Xenopus tropicalis: one gene and its partners. The protein of the gene in region 3 purifies or fractionates together with the protein of the main gene of each other region. This does not show direct contact. Links are inferred from orthologs where the notes say so. Each region holds a gene or a part of one and is shown on either strand. Other genes may lie near its edges.

The links.
Region 1: the proteins of slc39a4 (region 3) and abcb10 purify together in Homo sapiens (affinity purification with mass spectrometry; 3 studies listed by BioGRID and IntAct, counting the BioPlex papers as one, with this or other methods). This does not show direct contact. The link is inferred for Xenopus tropicalis from reciprocal best matches to the Homo sapiens genes SLC39A4 and ABCB10.
Region 2: the proteins of slc39a4 (region 3) and mgat1 purify together in Homo sapiens (affinity purification with mass spectrometry; 3 studies listed by BioGRID and IntAct, with this or other methods). This does not show direct contact. The link is inferred for Xenopus tropicalis from reciprocal best matches to the Homo sapiens genes SLC39A4 and MGAT1.
Region 4: the proteins of slc39a4 (region 3) and letmd1 purify together in Homo sapiens (affinity purification with mass spectrometry; 3 studies listed by BioGRID and IntAct, counting the BioPlex papers as one, with this or other methods). This does not show direct contact. The link is inferred for Xenopus tropicalis from reciprocal best matches to the Homo sapiens genes SLC39A4 and LETMD1.
Region 5: the proteins of slc39a4 (region 3) and agpat4 purify together in Homo sapiens (affinity purification with mass spectrometry; 3 studies listed by BioGRID and IntAct, with this or other methods). This does not show direct contact. The link is inferred for Xenopus tropicalis from reciprocal best matches to the Homo sapiens genes SLC39A4 and AGPAT4.

The regions. Positions count from the first base shown.
Region 1 is NC_030679.2:152,899,535-152,904,953, reverse strand, and holds the start of abcb10 (ATP-binding cassette sub-family B member 10, mitochondrial), read right to left. Parts: upstream 3,681-5,419; 5' UTR 3,577-3,680; intron 1-3,576.
Region 2 is NC_030684.2:71,520,374-71,523,988, reverse strand, and holds part of mgat1 (alpha-1,3-mannosyl-glycoprotein 2-beta-N-acetylglucosaminyltransferase), read right to left. Parts: intron 1,560-3,615; 5' UTR 1,351-1,559; coding exon 760-1,350; intron 1-759. UniProt on the Homo sapiens protein: Initiates complex N-linked carbohydrate formation. Essential for the conversion of high-mannose to hybrid and complex N-glycans.
Region 3 is NC_030682.2:154,047,424-154,052,113, reverse strand, and holds the end of slc39a4 (zinc transporter ZIP4), read right to left. Parts: intron 2,804-4,690; coding exon 2,651-2,803; intron 2,415-2,650; coding exon 2,227-2,414; intron 480-2,226; coding exon 351-479; 3' UTR 202-350; downstream 1-201. UniProt on the Homo sapiens protein: Selective transporter that mediates the uptake of Zn(2+). Plays an essential role for dietary zinc uptake from small intestine. The Zn(2+) uniporter activity is regulated by zinc availability.
Region 4 is NC_030678.2:142,123,393-142,128,508, reverse strand, and holds the start of letmd1 (LETM1 domain-containing protein 1), read right to left. Parts: upstream 3,199-5,116; 5' UTR 3,142-3,198; coding exon 3,062-3,141; intron 1,638-3,061; coding exon 1,486-1,637; intron 142-1,485; coding exon 26-141; intron 1-25. UniProt on the Homo sapiens protein: Plays an essential role for mitochondrial structure and function, as well as thermogenesis of brown adipocytes.
Region 5 is NC_030681.2:53,400,935-53,404,559, forward strand, and holds part of agpat4 (1-acyl-sn-glycerol-3-phosphate acyltransferase delta), read right to left. Parts: intron 2,643-3,625; coding exon 2,540-2,642; intron 1,369-2,539; coding exon 1,293-1,368; intron 736-1,292; coding exon 537-735; intron 1-536. UniProt on the Homo sapiens protein: Converts 1-acyl-sn-glycerol-3-phosphate (lysophosphatidic acid or LPA) into 1,2-diacyl-sn-glycerol-3-phosphate (phosphatidic acid or PA) by incorporating an acyl moiety at the sn-2 position of the glycerol backbone.

The DNA of each region.
Region 1 (5,419 bases), on a different chromosome or scaffold from region 3:
CTAACTGCCCCAGCAGGGGTAACCCTGTCAGTCCCACAGCCCCCCCTCACTAACTGCCCCAGCAGGGGTAACCCTGTCAGTCCCACAGCCCCCCCTCACTAACTGCCCCAGGAGAATTAACCCTGTCAGTCCCACAGCTCCCCCTCACTAACTGCCCCAGCAGGGGTAACCCTGTCAGTCCCACAGCTCCCCCTCACTAACTGCCCCAGCAGGGGTAACCCTGTCAGTCCCACAGCTCCCCCTCACTAACTGCCCCAGCAGGGGTAACCCTGTCAGTCCCACAGCCCCCCTCACTAACTGCCCCAGCAGGGGTAACCCTGTCAGTCCCACAGCCCCCCTCACTAACTGCCCCAGGAGAATTAACCCTGTCAGTCCCACAGCTCCCCCTCACTAACTGCCCCAGCAGGGGTAACCCTGTCAGTCCCCACAGCCCCCCCTCACTAACTGCCCCAGCAGGGGTAACCCTGTCAGTCCCACAGCCCCCCCTCACTAACTGCCCCAGCAGGGGTAACCCTGTCAGTCCCACAGCCCCCCCTCACTAACTGCCCCAGCAGGGGTAACCCTGTCAGTCCCACAGCCCCTCTCACTAACTGCCCCAGCAGGGGTAACCCTGTCAGTCCCACAGCCCCCCCTCACTAACTGCCCCAGCAGGGTAACCCTGTCAGTCCCACGGCTCCCCCTCACTAACTGCCCCAGCAGGGGTAACCCTGTCAGTCCCACAGCTCCCCTCACTAACTGCCCCAGCAGGGGTAACCCTGTCAGTCCCACAGCCCCCCCTCACTAACTGCCCCAGCAGGGGTAACCCTGTCAGTCCCACGGCTCCCCTCACTAACTGCCCCAGCAGGGGTAACCCTGTCAGTCCCACAGCTCCCCTCACTAACTGCCCCAGCAGGGGTAACCCTGTCAGTCCCACAGCTCCCCCTCACTAACTGCCCCAGCAGGGGTAACCCTGTCAGTCCCACGGCTCCCCTCACTAACTGCCCCAGCAGGGGTAACCCTGTCAGTCCCCACAGCTCCCCCTCACTAACTGCCCCAGCAGGGGTAACCCTGTCAGTCCCACAGCCCCCCCTCACTAACTGCCCCAGCAGGGGTAACCCTGTCAGTCCCACAGCCCCCCCTCACTAACTGCCCCAGCAGGGGTAACCCTGTCAGTCCCACAAGCTCCCCCTCACTAACTGCCCCAGCAGGGGTAAACCCCTGTCAGTCCCACAGCCCCCCCCCTCACTAACTGCCCCAGCAGGGGTAACCCTGTCAGTCCACAGCCCCCCCTCACTAACTGCCCCAGCAGGGGTAACCCTGTCAGTCCCACAGCCCCCCCTCACTAACTGCCCCAGCAGGGGTAACCCTGTCAGTCCCACAGCCCCCCCTCACTAACTGCCCAAGCAGGGGTAACCCTGTCAGTTCCCACAGCCCCCCCTCACTAACTGCCCCAGCAGGGGTAACCCTGTCAGTCCCACAGCCCCCCCTCACTAACTGCCCCCAGCAGGGGTAACCCTGTCAGTCCCACAGCCCCCCCCTCACTAACTGCCCCAGCAGGGGTAACCCTGTCAGTCCCACAGCCCCCCCTCACTAACTGCCCCAGCAGGGGTAACCCTGTCAGTCCCACAGCCCCCCCCTCACTAACTGCCCCAGCAGGGGTAACCCTGTCAGTCCCACGGCTCCCCCTCACTAACTGCCCCCAGCAGGGGTAACCCTGTCAGTCCCACAGCTCCCCCTCACTAACTGCCCCAGCAGGGGTAACCCTGTCAGTCCCACAGCCCCACCTCACTAACTGCCCCAGCAGGGGTAACCCTGTCAGTCCCACAGCTCCCCCTCACTAACTGCCCCAGCAGGGGTAACCCTGTCAGTCCCACAGCCCCCTCTCACTAACTGCCCCCAGCAGGGGTAACCCTGTCAGTCCCACAGCTCCCCCTCACTAACTGCCCCAGCAGGGGTAACCCTGTCAGTCCCACAGCCCCCCCTCACTAACTGCCCCAGCAGGGGTAACCCTGTCAGTCCCACAGCTCCCCCTCACTAACTGCCCAGCAGGGGTAACCCTGTCAGTCCCACAGCCCCCTCTCACTAACTGCCCCAGCAGGGGTAACCCTGTCAGTCCCACAGCTCCCCCTCACTAACTGCCCCCAGCAGGGGTAACCCTGTCAGTCCCACAGCTCCCCCTCACTAACTGCCCCAGCAGGGGTAACCCTGTCAGTCCCACAGCTCCCCCTCACTAACTGCCCCAGCAGGGGTAACCCTGTCAGTCCCAACAGACCCTTCCCCCCCCCCTCACTAACTGCCCCAGCAGGGGTAACCCTGTCAGTCCCACAGCTCCCCCTCACTAAACTGCCCCAGCAGGGGTAACCCTGTCAGTCCCACAGCTCCCCCTCACTAACTGCCCCAGCAGGGGTAACCCTGTCAGTCCCCACAGCTCCCCCTCACTAACTGCCCCAGCAGGGGTAACCCTGTCAGTCCCACAGCCCCCCCTCACTAACTGCCCCAGCAGGGGTAACCCTGTCAGTCCCACAGCCCCCCCTCACTAACTGCCCCAGCAGGGGTAACCCTGTCAGTCCCACAGCCCCCCCTCACTAACTGCCCCAGCAGGGGTAACCCTGTCAGTCCCACAGCCCCCCCTCACTAACTGCCCCAGCAGGGGTAACCCTGTCAGTCCCACAGCCCCCCCTCACTAACTGCCCAGCAGGGGTAACCCTGTCAGTCCCACAGCCCCCCCTCACTAACTGCCCCAGCAGGGGTAACCCTGTCAGTCCCACAGCCCCCCCTCACTAACTGCCCCAGCAGGGGTAACCCTGTCAGTCCCACAGCCCCCCCTCACTAACTGCCCCAGCAGGGGTAACCCTGTCAGTCCCACAGCCCCCTCTCACTAACTGCCCCAGCAGGGGTAACCCTGTCAGTCCCACAGCCCCCCCTCACTAACTGCCCCAGCAGGGGTAACCCTGTCAGTCCCACAGCTCCCCCTCACTAACTGCCCCAGCAGGGGTAACCCTGTCAGTCCCACAGCCCCCCCTCACTAACTGCCCCAGCAGGGGTAACCCTGTCAGTCCCACAGCTCCCCCTCACTAACTGCCCCAGCAGGGGTAACCCGTCAGTCCACAGCTCCCCTCACTAACTGCCCCAGCAGGGGTAACCCTGTCAGTCCCACAGCCCCCCCTCACTAACTGCCCCAGCAGGGGTAACCCTGTCAGTCCCACAGCTCCCCCTCACTAACTGCCCCAGCAGGGGTAATGGGGTTAATGGCGGGGCTGTGGGGGTTAATGGCGGGGCTGTGGGGGTTAATGGCGGGGCTGTGGGGGTTAATGGCGGGGCTGTGGGGGTTAATGGCGGGGCTGGGGGGGTTAATGGCGGGGCTGGGGGGGTTAATGGCGGGGCTGGGGGGGTTAATGGCGGGGCTGGGGGGGTTAATGGCGGGCTGGGGGGTTAATGGCGGGGCTGGGGGGTTAATGGCGGGGCTGGGGGGGTTAATGGCGGGCTGGGGGGGTTAATGGCGGGGCTGGGGGGTTAATGGCGGGGCTGGGGGGTTTTAATGGCGGGGCTGGGGGGGTTAATGGCGGGGCTGGGGGGGTTAATGGGAAGGGCACGTACCTGGGCTCGGGTTCCCACTCCCCAACTCCCGGCTCCGCTTCCCTCACACTTCTGACCTTCCCAACATGGCTGCTACTTATAACCTCGGCCGACTCCTTCCAACACTACTTCCTGCCCGGCGCCATCTTTAGTACTGGCAATGTCTGCCCATTCTTCCGCTTCTATTGCTGTGTGTGTGCCCCCTCTGTAACATGGTGCCCAGTGCCCCTCCCTGTGTGTGTGTGTGCCCCCTCTGTAACATGGTGCCCAGTGCCCCTCCCTGTGTGTGTGTGTGCCCCCTCTGTAAATGGTGCCCAGTGCCCCTCCCTGTGTGTGGTGTGTGCCCCCTCTGTAACATGGTGCCCAGTGCCCCTCCCTGTGTGTGTGTGTGCCCCCTCTGTAACATGGTGCCCAGTGCCCCTCCCTGTGTGTGTGTGTGCCCCCTCTGTAACATGGGTGCCCAGTGCCCTCCCTGTGTGTGTGTGTGCCCCTCTGTAACATGGTGCCCAGTGCCCCTCCCTGTGTGTGTGTGTGCCCCCTCTGTAACATGGTGCCCAGTGCCCCCCTGTGTGTGTGTGTGTGTGTGTGTGTGTGCCCCTCTGTAACATGGTGCCCAGTGCCCCTCCCTGTGTGTGTGTGCTCCCTCTGTAACATGGTGCCCAGTGCCCCTCCCGTGTGTGTGTGCCCTCTGTAACATGGTGCCCAGTGCCCCTCCCTGTGTGTGTGTGCTCCCTCTGTAACATGGTGCCCAGTGCCCCTCCCTGTGTGTGTGTGTGCCCCTCTGTAACATGGTGCCCAGTGCCCCTCCCTGTGTGTGTGTGTGTGTGTGTGTGTGTGTGTGTGTGTGCCCCTCTGTAACATGGTGCCCAGTGCCCCTCCCTGTGTGTGTGTGCTCCCTCTGTAACATGGTGCCCAGTGCCCCTCCCTGTGTGTGTGTGTGTGTGTGTGTGCCCCTCTGTAACATGGTGCCCAGTGCCCCTCCCTGTGTGTGTGTGCTCCCTCTGTAACATGGTGCCCAGTGCCCCTCCCTGTGTGTGTGTGCCCCCTCTGTAACATGGTGCCCAGTGCCCCTCCCTGTGTGTGTGTGTGTGTGTGTGTGTGTGCCCCCTCTGTAAACATGGTGCCCAGTGCCTCTCCCTGTGTGTGTGTGCCCCCTCTGTAACATGGTGCCCAGTGCCCCTCCCCTGTGTGTGTGTGTGTGTGTGTGTGTGCCCCCTCTGTAACATGGTGCCCCAGTGCCCCTCCCTGTGTGTGTGTGTGTGTGCCCCTCTGTAACATGGTGCCCAGTGCCCCTCCCTGTGTGTGTGTGTGTGCCCCCTCTGTAACATGGTGCCCCAGTGCCCCTCCCTGTGTGTGTGTGTGTGTGTGTGCCCCCTCTGTAACATGGTGCCCAGTGCCCCTCCCTGTGTGTGTGTGCCCCCTCTGTAACATGGTGCCCAGTGCCCCTCCCTGTCTGTGTGTGTGTGTGTGTGCCCCTCTGTAACATGGTGCCCAGTGCCCCCTCCCTGTGTGTGTGTGTGTGTGTGTGCCCCCTCTGTAACATGGTGCCCAGTGCCTCTCCCTGTGTTGTGTGTGCCCCCTCTGTAACATGGTGCCCAGTGCCCCTCCCTGTGTGTGTGTGTGTGTGTGTGCCCCCTCTGTAACATGGTGCCCAGTGCCCCTCCCTGTGTGTGTGTGTGTGGTGCCCTCTGTAACATGGTGCCCAGTGCCCCTCCCTGTGTGTGTGGGTGTGTGTGTGTGTGTGCCCCCTCTGTAACACATGGTGCCCAGTGCCCCTCCCTGTGTGTGTGTGTGTGTGTGCCCCCTCTGTAACATGGTGCCCCAGTGCCCCTCCCTGTGTGTGTGTGCCCCCTCTGTAACATGG
Region 2 (3,615 bases), on a different chromosome or scaffold from region 3:
ACAGCTGCCTTAAGAACAGGGCTCACAACATGATACATGCAGGTGCAATCCAGAGGAACAAAGATTGTTGGCTAACAACAGATGTATACATACAGGGCATCAATGTACAATATGAATTAAAAATATGGTACTTTGAGTCTTTGCATGTTGCACATATCTCCCCTTTTGTTAGTGAGCCCAAATATGTTAGTTGCAAAAAGTATCAGGTATTCCTGCTTACTGATAATGACTTCAAAGGATTTCAGGAAGGTTACTCTTTTCACTCACCTGAATTCTGAGTGTTATTTATGCAACAATGCAAAACTAAACATTTTAAAATGGAAACTGTTTAGCTATTAATAAACACACAATACTGATTTGTGATCATGGCACCCCAAGGCCCCCCTTCCCACGCATGCACACCCATTTAGCACGCATACGGAGCACTGGGGACAGGATGTGCTGAAGTTTTCTGCGCTTCCTGTCCCCACTGCGCCATATGTGGGCAAAGTTTCAGTGCTGCTTGGGTGACATGCCCCCCCAGGCTCAGGCCTTTGTGGCACAAATACAAATAATACAAATAATAATAATACAAATAAATGCCTAATATTTTACTTTAAAGGTTATAGATGTTATAAGGTATTTGTGTGCTTCTGAGCCTATTGTTTTATCTGCTGCAACAAATACACTTTGTCTGTACCATTTCTGAATTAATCAATTTACTCTTCACTGTCCCCCCAGCAACCTGTCTTTCTTCACTCTCGTTCAAAAATCTCTTACCTGGTTGAGTGCCCATCTGTAATGACGGGAAATTTTATAATAACCTTGAAACTTCCGGTGTTCTGGTGGGACAGCCACCTCTGAGAGATCAGGCTGCTTGATATGAGTTACAGCATCTCCATAGGAGTCAATGACCTTCCCAGTCTCCTCATGACCACAGTCTTGGCTCACTATTATGGGGAATTTTTCCGCTGAGGGTCGGTATTTTAACAATGAATCCAGGCATCTCCTCACTGAGGGACGGTCACATGCCACCACTAGGATTGGAATGACCAAAGAGAGAGGATCTGATCTCACAGGAGATGAAGTGGATGACATATTAGACTTCTTAATGGGTATTACAGGTGCTGGCCTTACATGTGAAGGAGACTGCTGGTTGTTAAGTAGGCCACTGTAGTAGTGTATTTGTTGAAGTAATCCCTTCTGTTTTTCAAGCTCAGCCTCTGCTGCTTCAGCCAACTGGATAACATGCGCAGTAAGATCGGAATGATCAGTACCACGGGACCTGCTCATGAGGTAGAGGAGTAGAATTGCATTCCATGAGATAAAGAGGGCTGCCCCCCAGGCCGCCACGCTGACCTTGCGCGGCATTCCCCTGGGGGGTCCCAGATCCAGTATGGAAAGTGATTTGAGATTTAGAGTTTTAGGTATTGCACTTCTGAAGACAAAAGAGAAACAGGCCAAGGTTCTTGTTTCTTCAAATAAAGATTAGAAGGCCAAATGAAGAGACCACCACAGCCATTAAGCAGGATTAACAGATAAATTTATTGTCTTCTGGAATAAACTTTACATCCATCCACCTACACAAAAGAAAAATATATAAAATCAACAGCTACACAAACTTTGCTCCCTTACAAAACACAAAGCCACAAATATTACTTTAAAAAGCAAGAGAAATTGAACCATTATCACACAACTTTATGCTATTTAATATGTTTTGTGCTAATATTCACAAATTAGAATCATTTCACCATTAGTACCAATGACTGTCATTATTAGCAGGATAAAGGAATTAACATTTAAGCATGTAGAATAACAGTATGTACTTTGCAATGGAAAAATGTAGAGTGCAAGATGCGTTATTAGTAGTTAGAAAAGAATGAGAATATACTTCTGTGAGGAGTTTCTGTGATATTGGTCCCTTAGACCGACTCGGCAGCTTATTGTCCCGTGTATGGGCACCAATGACGGGCCTGCGCGACTGACATCTGGCCTGAAATTGACCAGATCTCGATTGGACAGGTTTAAAAATTTAGTCGGATCGGGGACCATTGAAGACAATATGAATAGCCAAATAAAAGTCAGTCTACTCACATAACTGAGAGCAAATGCTGAGTGGCACATTTTTGAGTGATTATGTGATTGTGCAGGTGAGTGCTTTTGCTCTTAACGCCGGGGTGCCAAGACTTTGTTCCCCTAAGACGCAGCACACACATTCCCTGGCTTAGACGCAGTCTACCAGAAATTCATGGGGATCAACTGGTAGACCGCGATCAACGTGTTGGCCAACCCTGCCTTAAGGTAACCTGCATTGAGTTACCCCTGAAATTTCCAATTACAATCAACAGGAAAAAGGTGCATGTCCTAATGTGCTACTTCTTTTTCTAACAGAACAGGGTAATGTATAACTTGAAATTAACACAAAATATACCCTGAAAAACAGATCTGTTCAACTGGAGGTTGAAGATACAACAACATTACTATGGCCACAGATTTCCTTAGGGCAGTGCTGTCCAACTTCTACGGTGCCGAGGGCCGGAATTTCTCTAGCATACATGGTGGAGGGCCGCTAATGGAAGCCAGTTTTGACCACTCCCCTTTTTGAAACCACACCCACTTCAAACCACACCTATTTTATCACAATGGTGGTAGTACAGCAAAATCCCAAATGCTTGGTCCTTACTGTGGGGATATCAACCATCATTCATATGTGAAAGAATTATGTCATATTAAGATATACCCTTAAATTCCATATGCCTCCTCCTCCCCTGTGGATAGCAGAGCAACCCCCAGTACATAATTACACACCTTAGGGACCATTTAATGGCTATTTCCAACTGCTAACAAACTCCCACAACAAACCCTGCCAGGTTCACCTCCCACAAGCAGCATAGGGCAAGCAGAGTATGGCACACACAGGAAGCACTCTGCCTGTCCTAAGCTGTCTGTGCGTGCCATACTCTGTCTGCCCTACCCTGCCTGTGTGTGCCATACTCTGCCTGTCCTACCCTGCCTGTGTGTGCCATACTCTGCCTTCCCTATGCTGCCTCTGTGTGCCATACTCTGCCTGCCCTACCCTGCCTGTGTGTGCCATACTCTGCCTGCCCTACCCTGACTGTGTGTGCCATACTCTGCCTGCCCTACCCTTCCTGTGTGTGCCATACTCTGCCTGCCCTACTCTTCCTGTGTGTGCCATACCCTCCCTGACCTATGCTGGCTGTATGTGCCATACTCTGCCTACAGTACCTATGTCTGAGGTGTGAAGAAGTGAACAATGGGAGTGATTACAGTCTGAGCCTGAGGTGTGAACACTGCAGGGGGTGAACAATGCAGGTATTAAAAGGTGTGAAAAACACAGGGGATTACATTTTTAAACAATACAGAGGGATTACAGCCTGAATCTGAGGTGAGAACCATGCAGGGGGCCAGTTAATCTCAGCACTGATACCATTTAATGCTTACTCAAAGGTAAGCCATCAAAGCAGCCAGACAGGTGGGGGGCCACACAGAGGGGGGTCGCGGGCCGCCAGTTGGACAGCACTGCCTTAGGGTAAGGGTAAAGACACACCGCTACCAATTTTTTAAAACTTTGTAGCCCTGTGTGTCTTCGGCCTTAAAGTTTCATTCACTTCATCA
Region 3 (4,690 bases):
GTTGCCCAACTGGGCACATAGTGGCGCCGCTCTGCCCCTCACTGAAATGGACTCTTTGGTTCTTTCCCAAAGGAAAGCAAAACAGGGGGAGGCTTTGGACCTCAACTTAGATCTACAGAACCCCCCGGCAGTCTACAGAGAGATACCTCCCCAAGGACCCAGCACAAATCTCCTGACCCATTTGGTTTTTGGATCACAAAAGAAGTCTGAGAGCAAGTTTAATGGAACACGGTTTCATTCTTTCCCAATAAAGACTTAGAATAGAATGTTCTTTGGACAATCCGGCTTTGTCTTCAGGTAGGAGATACCCGGGAAGGTCAGAACCAATGTTCTGAGGCAGATTGGTGACCTCACAGGGCAATATTGTCCTCATAAAGTGATAAAATCAGGAGGATTACCCAGCCCAAAAGAATCCCCAGATTATGGAGAAAGAAGAGGATCCAGGGTCTGTGGAGCTTCACATTCATCATGGCGGGAAGCTGAAAGGCAAGAACCCGGGTCATTTATACAAAGAGAGGGACCGTGGTATCATATCCTTCACATATACTCACTGGGGTGGGTCCTTTGTCTGCTTTCTCTACAGAACCCTAACCTTATAGGCCTGCACCTAACATCACCCCAACACACACAGACCAGCACCCTAACATCACCCCAACACACACAGGCCAGCACCCTAACATCACCCCGGCATACACAGACCAGCACCCTAACATCACCCCAACACACACAGACCAGCACCCTAACATCACCCCAGCACACACGGGCTAGCACCCTAACATCACCCTGGCACACAAGACACCCCTCACTCCCATCATGCCACACTGTTACAATTCTTCCTGGTGAATAAGGAGGAGGTACCTTCCCTTGATCCAATCCGGGCACATCTCGCCCACCACGTGTCCAGCACTTCTGTCTCCCTTTCCCCACTGGGATCCCCCTTCCAAAGACCCTCCCTTGATCCCCTCCCAGTTACCACCCTTTCTCATGTTCTCTTTATAACCACTTAACCCACTTTCTCTCTTCTAAACCTCTTCCTGACCCACTGCATTCAACTGAGGTGGTGCTGCCCAAAGTCTCCAATGACCTTCTGTCTGGCAAGTCTATAGGGGAATTATCCATACTGACCTTGTGTTTGAGGTGATACAAAGAGAGAATTAGGGCAACATTGTGGTACAGTGATGATACAAAGAGAGAATTAAAGAGAGCTATTGGGGTACAGTGATGATACAAAGAAAGAATTAGAGAGGTCCGTTGGGGTACAGTGATGATATAGAGAGGTATACTGGGATACGGTTATAATATAGAGAGGTATATTGGGGTACAGTGATGACACAAAGAGAGAATTAGAGAGGGTTGTTGGGGTACAGTGATGATACAAAGAGAGAATTAGAGAGGTCCGTTGAGGTACAGTGATGATATAGAGAGGTATACTGGGATAAGGTGATAATATAGAGAGGTATATTGGGGTACAGTGATGATACAAAGAGAGAATTAGAGAGGGCCATTGGGGTACAGCAATGATACAAAGAAAGAATTAGAGAGGGTTGTTGGGGTACAGTGATGATACAAAGAGAGAATTAGAGAGGGCCATTGGGGTACAGTGATGATACAAAGAAAGAATTAGAGAGGTCCATTGGGGTACGGTGATAATATAGAGAGGTATATTGGGGTACAGTGATGATACAAAGAGAGAATTAGAGAGGGCTGTTGGGGTACAGTGATCATACAAAGAGAGAATTAGAGAGGGCCATTGGGGTATAGCGATGATACAAAGAGAGAATTAGAGAGGGCCATTGGGGTACAGCGATGATACAAAGAGAGAATTAGAGAGGGCTGTTGGGGTACAGCGATGATACAAAGAGAGAATTAGAGAGGGCCATTGGGGTACAGGGATGATATAGAGAGGTATACTGGGGTACAGTGATGATATAGAGAGGTATACTGGGGTACAGTGATGATATAGAGAGGTATACTGGGGTACAGTGATGATATAGAGAGGTATACTGGGGTACAGGGATGATATAGAGAGGGCCATTGGGGTACAGGGATGATATAGAGAGGTATACTGGGGTACAGTGATGATATAGAGAGGTATACTGGGGTACAGTGATGATATAGAGAGGTATACTGGGGTACAGTGATGATATAGAGAGGTATACTGGGGTACAGTGATGATATAGAGAGGTATACTGGGGTACAGTTATGATAAGAAGAGGGTGGTCTCACCATATCTGCCAGAGCAACATAGAGGAAGAGGCCGGTGGCTACAGTGAAGATCCACTGCTGGACGGCTTCATCGGCCGAGATGGACAGCGAGATGTACAGGCCAATGAATGCGGTGAGGGCACTGGAGAAGTTCAGGAGTAGAGCCCAACGCACCCGGAGACCGGCATGGAGAAGGGCAGCAAAATCACCTGGGGGCAGGGAGTCACTTGTCATTGCAAACCCCCAGAACAACTTAGCCCTTAGCCCCCCCATCCTTCCCCATATTTCCTTTCTCTCTGCATCTCTGTGTCACCCTGCAGTGGGAGGGTGCAGACTCCATATCCCATGGTTCCCCTTGTCTCCCTGCACTGGGAATGGGAGAGTCACAGATTCTTACATCCTATCGTTCCATTCTATCTAGGCCAGCGTACAGGGTGAGACATACCAAGTTCGTGGGGGAGTTCGTGGCATAAAACAGCCAGAGATGTCGCCAATCCAGTTTTCCAAGAGGTGGAGAATGCAGCTCCTATAGCCAAACCATCGGCAAAGTTATGAATGGCGTCTCCAATGGTGATCATGTAGGGGATCATCTGCAGCTCTGGATCAATGAAAAGAGACATCACATGGTGAGAGTGAGTAGTTTGTCTCCAACAGAGACTGCTGGCGAGACCCTAAGATACTTGGATCCACAAATCATCCACCAGCATTGCCCTCTACCTTAGTTCCCCTTTAGGGCTTTTCCTTTTTGAAGGCCAAAACGAGGCTTTTTTTTATCATGTGGGTCCATTGACTTATAAAGTATATGTTCTTATCATGGGGGTCCATTGCCACAGGTGCCACAGTGTAACCCACAGCCAGAAGGTGCCACAGTGTAACCCACGGCCAGAAGGTGCCATAGTGTAACCCACGGCCAGAAGGTGCCACAGTGTTACCCACGGCCAGAAGGTGCCACAGTGTAACCCACGGCCAGAAGGTGCCACAGTGTAACCCACGGCCAGAAGGTGCCACAGTGTAACCCACAGCCAGAAGGTGCCATAGTGTTACCCACGGCCAGAAGGTGCCACAGTGTAACCCACAGCCAGAAGGTGCCATAGTGTTACCCACTGCCAGAAGGTGCCACAGTGTAACCCACGGCCAGAAGGTGCCACAGTGTAACCCACGGCCAGAAGGTGCCACAGTGTAACCCACGGCCAGAAGGTGCCACAGTGTAACCCACGGCCAGAAGGTGCCACAGTGTAACCCACGGCCAGAAGGTGCCACAGTGTAACCCACGGCCAGAAGGTGCCACAGTGTAACCCACGGCCAGAAGGTGCCACAGTGTAACCCACGGCCAGAAGGTGCCACAGTGTTACCCACGGCTAGAAGGTGCCACAGTGTAACCCACGGCCAGAAGGTGCCACAGTGTAACCCACGGCCAGAAGGTGCCACAGGGTTACCCACAGCCAGAAGGTGCCACAGTGTTACCCACGACCAGAAGGTGCCACAATGTAACCCACGGCCAGAAGGTTCCACAGTGTTACCCACGGCCAGAAGGTGCCACAATGTAACCCACGGCCAGAAGGTTCCACAGTGTAACCCACGGCCAGAAGGTGCCACAGTGTAACCACGGCCAGAAGGTTCCACAGTGTAACCCACGGCCAGAAGGTGCCACAGTGTAACCCACGGCCAGAAGGTGCCACAGGGTTACCCACAGCCAGAAGGTTCCACAGTGTAACCCACGGCCAGAAGGTGCCACAGTGTAACCCACGGCCAGAAGGTGCCACAGTGTAACCCACGGCCAGAAGGTTCCACAGTGTAACCCACGGCCAGAAGGTGCCACAGTGTTACCCACGGCCAGAAGGTGCCACAGTGTAACCCACAGCCAGAAGGTGCCACAGTGTAACCCACGGCCTGAAGGTGCCACAGTGTTACCCACGGCCAGAAGGTGCCACAATGTAACCCACTGCCAGAAGGTGCCACAGTGTAACCCACGGCCAGAAGGTGCCACAGTGTAACCCACGGCCAGAAGGTGCCACAGTGTAACCCACGGCCAGAAGGGGGCCACAGTGTAACCCACGGCCAGAAGGGGCCACAGTGTAACCCACGGCCAGAAGGTGCCACAGTGTAACCCACGGCCAGAAGGTGCCACAGTGTAACCCACGGCCAGAAGGTGCCACAGTGTAACCCACGGCCAGAAGGTGCCACAGTGTAACCCACGGCCAGAAGGTGCTACAGTGTAACCCACGGCCAGAAGATGGTGCAATTTCTCCAATTAAAGGAACAGTAACACCAAAAAATGAAAGAGCTTTAAAGTAATAAAAATATAATGCACTGTTGCCCTGCACTGGTAAAACTGGTGTGTTTGCTATAGTAACACTACTATAATTGATATAATAATCTGCTGTGTAGCCCCGGGGGCAGCCGTTCCTGCACTGGTAAAAGTTGTGTGTTTGCTACAGAAACCCTACTATAGTTTATATAAATACCCCGCTGTGTAGCCCCGGGG
Region 4 (5,116 bases), on a different chromosome or scaffold from region 3:
AGTTGTAGCCCCTCTCAAAACATACCTGCCTTAATTTCTCCATTTCCCGATAAGGCAGCTGGTGGAACGGTATTCCTTGGTGGTTCATTCTTTGCTTAATGCGGCCTACTTCTTTTGCTTCTGTCATAAGCATCCTAAAGCCTGGACATTATTCAGAACAAATTGGTTGGATTTTACAATTACCTGCATGGTCAGTTCTTTGAGTTTAAAAGGGTTGTTCACCTTTAAATTAACTTTTAGGATGATGCAGAGAGGGATATTCTGATTCATAATGGGTCTTTCATTTTTATTATATGTAGTTTTTGAATTATTTAGCTTTTTGTTCAAAGGATCTCCAGATCAGAATTTCAGGGGCTATCTGGTTGCTAGTGTCCTAATTACCTTTGCAACCAAGCAGTGGTGTGAGTAATAGTTTGAAAAATGTATAGGAGAGGCCTAAATAGAAACATATGTCATAAAATATAACAACAGAATTGTAGCCTCAAAGAGCAATCATTTTGGCTTTTTGGGGTCAGTGACCCTCATTCAAAGGCTGAAAAGTGTTGGAAGAAAAAGGCAAATAATTCAGGGAAGACCAACTGGAGACCTGCGAAGAACTGCACATTCTTAAAAGTACTTAACAGACAGTTTATCTGAAGTTGAACCACCCCTTTAAGGTCAAGTGTTTATTTTCTTTTACACTTCCCAATGTCTGTGTGTATGCATACACTTACATACTCATACACTTTGCAGTATATATAGCAAACAGGAGTTTGGAAACATAATTTCAGCATGTGGCCACTTAAGTGATACTGACACTAAAAAACAACTCTTTAAAATATGAATGTACATAAAAAGTTGCCTATAGGTCATGTTGTTTTTGCTGATAGGGCTGCTTTTGTAAGCAATGGTTACTTGGAGTCCCTAAACATGACTGTCCCTTCTCAGCCTGTCAGTTATAGCTTCTAATGCTAACGGCCTACTGCTGCACAAATATTGCAGCCCCCTCATAGAGGATCATGGGGGTCAGACAGACAATGTAAAAGCATCAGGCAAATACATTTATGGCAAAATTATTAAGGTCATACAAAGACAATGTTATGATAGATGTAAAAAAAAAAAAAAAAAAAAAAAAAAAAGGGTTTAATTTCTTGTGTCAGTATCTCTTTAAGCTGCTCATTGAACACCCGTTTTTTTTGGATTTAATGTATAATTATTACCTTGCACTGAAAGCTTCACAAACTTATATCAAAATATTTGATAACACTGGGCTAATTTGCACTGGGGCAGTAACCCAAAGATAACCAAGCAAAAGATTCATTGGCTGCTATGAGTTGACTGCCCCGGTGCAACTATACCCAGCGCTAAAAAAGCTGCACCAAACAGACTTTGGTTTCTAGTGAAGCACAAAAGTAGATATCACATTAATTGAGATGGTTCTTTTTTTTCAGATTATATTGTAGATACAAGACAGGATGTGCATTCATAAAAGTGTGGATCACTTACCCTTCATGAAGGTGGAATACAAAAGATAAAAATTTGGGAACTTTCTTTCCAAGAAATGCTCGTATTTTTCATTGGCATATTTGGCCTTGGAAGCTATTAAGGAGAGCATGCTCTTCGGCTTGGAGTTTGTCGATAAATGGCATGGCTGGTACCTATAAACAAAAAACGATATATACAAGTGCAATGATAAAGTTAAAAACCATCATGAATGAAATTAACAGGTATTTGTTGCCTTAGAGCTAAACTACATTGGAGCTTTTTGTAAGATGGTGTTGGATCGAGAGAACACATCCTACAAGTGTAAAGTGTAGCTGTTTGTAGTTGCATAGTTTAAGACAGTAGGAATGACAGGTATGTGTAAAGTACATGGAAGCATTGCTGTTTGATGTGACACGCCTGTTGGAAGGGAGTGCTGCATGCTGCGTCTTCATTCAATGAGATAAAAACTGATGGTATCTGACAGACTTGTTTTTCTATAGGAAATACATCGACTGTCGGATGTAGACGCATGAACAAAACTCACCATCCAACTATCTGATTAAACTTTACTTTACAGGTGCGGCATCAAAATTTGTGTCTGATCAAAGTCTCCCATGTAGTTTAGTCCTAATGGATATAAAAACAAGCTGTGCCAGGAATACTGTTGCTCAAGCAGTGCAAGGATAAAATTAAGGCCAAGCAGTAGCTAGAGGACATATGAAAAAAAAAAAGACCAATTGCATATTATCTTAAGGTCCCCATACACAGGCCAATTCTAGCTGCCGATATTGGTCCCTTAGACCGTTTCGGCAGCTAATCGGCCCGTGTATGGGCACTACCGACGGGCCTGCCCGACCGATATCTGGCCTGAAATCAGCCAGATCTTGATCAGACAGGTTAGAAAATCTAGTCGGATCGGGGACTGCTTTGGCTCATTGATGCGGTCCCCTGACCGACTTTTCCTATACCCGTCATTTTAATTCGAATTATCCTGGATTCTACCGATATCGCCCACCAGTAGGATTGGCCCGTGTATGGGGACCTTTAGATTAACACTCTCTACATCATAGGAGAAAGAATGGTACAATCACTGGGGGACCCAAATGTTAGGCAACCTCCAGTGATTACACTGATATCCCACGCTGGGATACAGCGTATTAGAATTGATCATGGGTCTGGATACTTTTATAGGGCTCTGTATTGCTTGCTCGGTGCAGGAAAATGACGTATCTACCATAAACACAAGGCCTGGCGGCAGAAAGCACCTTATCAGATGTCGCAGCGGCTCAGTGTATCGGCTCACATGTAGAACAGTGTGTAAGGGGAAAGCTCCATATAAGAACAAATTAGTGAGTCTATAGGGGAAACACCAGGCCCTACAGTTCACCAGAAAGCCTATTCCATACAATAAAAGGTCACTGCGCTTTAGCTCAAATACGCACTGACACTTGCAGTGTGCCTGTCACAGTATGGGGCTTATTAGCCGGCAGTCAGTGAAGCAGAGAGACAGACCTAGTCATTCTAAGTAGGCTCACAGAGAATCCCTGCACTGCTCACATTACTGAGCTAAAGCTAACTGGGGCGTGTAGCTACTCACAACAGGAGGACACACTTCCTCATACGCCTGCCATCCTCGCCCATCATAAACCGGCAATTTCTTGTCCTGCACAGCGCCATGCCTGACAGCATCTTCCCGACACAGCGGCAAGGGCAAGGAAGCAGAGGTCACATGGGGATACGGAACGTCAATGCAAGAGCTGAGCGGCCATTTTGGATAAGGGCACTAAAGAGACTGTCTCAAGTCAGTGAGAATGAGGCGAGCTACATTTTAATTGTACTGTGTGTTATACATTTCCAGGTTTGCCATCACGGTAGGACAGGCAGGAATACAGTCAGTGGCCTGCTGGCGCGAAAGGGGGTGGGGTTATTCTCTAAAGGGGCGGGTTGGACAAACCTTATATAGGTCAGGGTAGAATGATTTATTTCCTTTGCAACCGTAGATACTCTTGAAATTACCCACTTACCCCTTAGGGCTCTGGCACACGGGGAGATTAGTCGCCCGCGACAAATCTCCCTTGTCACAGGCGACTAATCTCCCCGAGTTGCCATGACCCGCCATCCCACCGGCGAACATGTAAGTCGCCAGTGGGATGGCACACGCGGCGGCGCGATTTCGCGCAAATCGGCGAAAAAGACTCGTGAGTCTTTTTCGCCAATTTCCCAAAATCGCCCCGCCGCGTCTGCCATCCCACCGGCGACTTACATTGTCGCCGATGGGATGGCAGGGGGAAGGCAACTCGGGGAGATTAGTCGCCCGCGAACAGGGAGTTTTGCCGCGGGCGACTAATCTCCCTGTGTGCCAGAGCCCTTAGAGCCATTTAGGGAAAGCGTATAACAAAGTTTAAATGCAAAAGAAAAGAAAAAATATGTGTATTTATATATGTTTTATAGTGTAAGAGAAGGTTATTTTACTTGACAAACACAATAGAAAACAATTTGGAATTATTTCTTAGGGTGACAGGTCCCCTTTAATACAGACACCAGGGTGTTGCACCAGGGTCGTTCGGGTCTGCAACCACAATATTTTTGTATGACCAAAGAAAAGAATTTTCGAGCAGTTTTCGCACAGCGGAAATTATTGTGGTTATTCCACTTTTAACTAGTGAAAATTTGTGCTTTAATGAATGTGCCCACAAGGGACAGATTTATCAGAATGTGAGTTTAGGGCTTAATGCATAAAACCCCACATTCTGTTCATTCCTATGGGATTTTTAGAAGTGTTTTTTTTCAAATGCTAAGTTCTAACTTTCACCCATTGATAAATATGCTTCTAAAAATCCCATAGGAATTAATAGAATTTTTTTATAAAGCTGCCCCTCAGTATGCATTCTCTCCAATCTTAATATAGCTGGCCTTTTCACTGTATTACTTCAGCCACTGCTGTAGGCCAGTTCCACATTTTGAGAACAACTGCTGTTTTGCCTCTTTGGCTACATTAGAAACTATCAGCGGGAATAAGAAAACAATCATAGCTGCCACCAGATGGCAGGACTGCTTTCAACTTAATTTCTTAGAACTAAATGAAATTCTTTAGGTCAGTGCTAAACTAGATTTCCATTGAGACCTAATAAGATAAAGAGATTGTTGTTGTAATGAAGTGCAAGCTACATGTAGAAACACACAGGCCGCTAAAGCAGTATATATATAGGTAGTAGTGGATCAACAGGACAGCTTCAGGAATTATTATGCTAGAATATTATGATTAACACTAGCATTAAGCTTTTAAAAATGTTAACTTTAGTAGGACAATATTCCTGCAAGATAAGTTCTTGTATGATAAATATAGATTACTGTTTCTGAACTATGTGATAAACATAACATACATATTAGTGGGTATGGACATTACAGTATGGACCAGCATCCCACACGTAGAAGATATTTGAGTTGTAAAAGGTGTTTTAATTAAAAATATCAGTGATTGCTGCTGTAGAGTGTTTTATCTTACCACTCCATTGAGATCATTTCAAATCCAACAAATGTTTTATGTACCTGCAGGATCTCTGTGACAGTCAACAATTGGGGTAAGTGGCTTCGTGGTACTTTCTTAAAGATTTGGTTGAGCATGGGGAGTTCTCCACTCTTGTAATATATT
Region 5 (3,625 bases), on a different chromosome or scaffold from region 3:
TTTAGTGACCAGTATTGAAGAGGGGAGGATAATAGATAGTGCTCTTCATCAGATACCAGCTCTGCCCAGCCCCCTGTAGAGAGGGAAGCACACACCAAACACCAAAAGAACCAGAAAGCCAGTGCAGGCAGCCTATAGATGCAGGTGAGCCGAGACTGTGGTGAGTGGAAAGGGCATTTTATATACGTTAAAAAAAATAAAATACAGATTCCTTTCCTTATTTAACCTACTTTGTGTAAGAGCTAAACTCTTTGATACAAAGAATTTTGTATCAATCCCATTATATTTTGGCCCACACGACTACATCCAACTTGTCAGATGCTGTTTAAGATGTGTTTAAGTTTCACTTGGAAATGGGTGAATTCGAAAACAATGATGGGATTAACTTCCCCTTGAAAATATACATAAATCTCGAAAAAAACAAAATTAAAAAAATTTAACTTTTCTCACAAAACCTTAGTAAATGGGCCCCTAAGTGTAATAGGCACAACTACATTCAAGTCAGTGTAAGTATAGGGAAATGTGTGTGCACTTACCAATAACCATTAATAATGCAAAGACGGAAATTGTAAAATACGATCCACTGCTGATCATGTTTGCCAGCACTTTAAATAAGGGATATGAAAGCAGAGAGGCCCAAAATATCCAGTTTATAAGGGTCCATGGTCTCCTAGGTGGCACAACTGCAGTCCCTGGGTAGGCACCGGTCTTGTAGTATTCCTCCTGAAATGCATCCTAAAGATACAAAGATCAAGAAAATTTACTTACTTCAGAGAGTGTTTATATATATTTTTTTACATAAGCCCAACGGAACGACCCAAGGTCAAACAGGGAGGTATATTTTCCTTTCATTTTAGAAGTGCTAAGGTGCTGTCTGAATGATCTTCAATTTCATTTTAAGGAGAAAAATTCTTCAGGATGAAGTATAAACCTACAACTACAGCTACGGGCCTTTGTACAATTTCCTCTTCTGGGGGACAGTATTCAGATCTAGTAGGCTGGAATACAGTTCATATATGAAATACGTGTGTATCTGTGTTTTTGGATTCAATGCATCTTTGCAACATTGTAAGTGCTGACTTGAGCAGCCAGCCAGTTAAAATGGGATATGTTGGAAAAATCTATTTGTATGGAAAATTTCATTTTGGGTGGAAAACCCCTTCAATAGTTAATTAGCAAATTCATATGGAAATATAATTACAAATACATGTAACCACCAATATGATTATACCAACTTGGTGCGAGGTTAATAAAATCAGCTCTAACAAATATCCATTAATAAAAATACTGACCTTTTCCTGATACAGTTTGTGGAGCCAAGAGGCACATTCCTGCTCATCCTCTGGGATTTCTTCTAATGGGATTCTCCTGAGACATGAAACGGAAAGAGTCAACAAATCATCAACACAATGGCCAAAAGAAAGATTGCAAAGGATACAGTCCCATGATTACTTATTAGAATATTATTTCATTTTTATACACAGATTTAAAAGGAGAACTATCGTGAAATTGAAAATTCAGCTCATGAAAACCAGAAACTTTCCACATATAAATAATTAGAAATTCTGTAGCACTTCTAAAATCAAATCAAATTACATGTCACATCAATCTGTATCTCTTCATGCAGCAGTTGGAGTGAGATTTCAATGCAAGTCTATTCTGGGCAAGTTTTGAGTGTTGTGGTTGCGTATTTCTGGGCTGCTTAAAAGGGTGGTTCACCTTTAAGTTAAGTTAACTTTTAATATCTTAAAGAATGCCCAAATTATTTTCTGCCTTCTTCTGACTCTTTCCAGCTTTCAATAGGGGTCACTGACCCACCAGCCAATAAAGTTGCTGAACAAAAAGCGAAATATTTAAAAAAAAAACACAAGTTGCAAGTCTCCGCACTCTCTCGATCGGCTATTTAGACTTGCTCTTTAAAGCACACATGAGGGTAACGGGCATCTACTAGGAAGTGCGTTCTGAGCAAAGTTCCAGCTGTTGCCACTATGTTTGCTGTGCATTTTCCAAAGATCTTTGGGGAAGATGGTAATGGGTCTACCAGTGTAAATATAAATGAACCTTAGTCATAGAAGAATTAGATACTGACTGTACATTAACTTTTACCACTTCAGTTGTTTTAGAAGGGAAGGGGGGGTCTGGGATGGGGCGGAATTGGTCTCAGAATCACCCCTAGTATAATAGCAAACTTGTTTAGATTGTGATATACTATACATGAATTATTCCCTGAAAAAACACACACGTGCAACAATACTGGGTTGAAGGCTACTCGTGGCATTTTCCTTTGCAGTGGGAAGTGACCTTTGCTACTAGTTTATGGCAGTGATAGCATGCATCATCATAAACCTGCTTTGGACACAAAATGGCATTTGTGTTACAGCTTTGAGTGCAGAACCTTCATAGCATATTGTCAACATAATGCTTAGGCAAGGGCATTTACTTTGAGCACATTTTCCCTATAAAACAAAGTTACACATTCAAAGAAAATCAGTTTCATTCAGTTACAAGAAGCTAAAAAGCTAAATGGAAAACTGCTTACCTGACACACAGGTCCGCGTGGTATTTCTTCCCATTCAAAACTCCAAGCAATGTAGGATTTTCATTGTTTCTAAAATTGAGGGTTGAGTCGTATACAGCTGAAACTGGAAAAACAAGAAATCTGAAATGATATAGCAAAGAATGCACACCGACGACTGTCAAAACCTGTGTGCACACAAATGAATATTTTGCACATATATTAATATTTTGATCCTAGGGAGTAATCAGTTTTGATCACTGCAAATTTAACAGAACGTTTAATGCCACCAGGAAAAGCATCAAATCCAGATTAACCTCTTCCTGGAAGAATTATATTTATTTCTCGTGTTACCTGCTATCTGGTACCACTGACCCAATCATTAAAAAATGGAAAAAAAAATGATCACCTTATACATCACAAGAATTTGTTTTGGTATAATTTCCTACACTTCTAGTGCTCATAGCAGGCATTTTGAGGGATTTTATTAATATAGGTTGTAACCAACAAAGTCTCTATGAAATCTATAGCTTCATTTCTTTTGGTTTATAAACACCAAATTCACATGGGTAAACAAAGGCAATTGGTTGGAATAATATGCTGAAATATAAACTTTGCCTTTCTCTTGAACAAGATATGCATAGGTACATTATATTTTATACAGTGCTATCCAATTCTAAAGGTGGCCATGCACGTTCAGATCTTAGTCTTCTGACAAACATTCAGATATTGATTGTACATTTAAATACAACAATCTAAAACTAACATTCAGACTGAAATTGTAGCATAAAGCCAAATCAGAGGATGTTCTAAACATGAAATATTTGGCAGACACCAATTGGATGAAAATGAATTCCTGGAAATGCATTGTAGGTCCCCCAAGGATACTGTCAGATACACGATACATGCGCAGAATTCTGAGCCACACAAAAAAAGTGTCGTTTGTGTGGCCCTGGAAATATTAAAAAATTATTTTGTATTTTTGGAACAATACTATGTACAGCACATGGGGTGCGCTATGGGTGCTAACATGGGACCCATTTATGCTAATATGTTTATGTATGTTTGTACTTTAAATAAAGGATTGTGGAATAAAAAAATCCTATTATA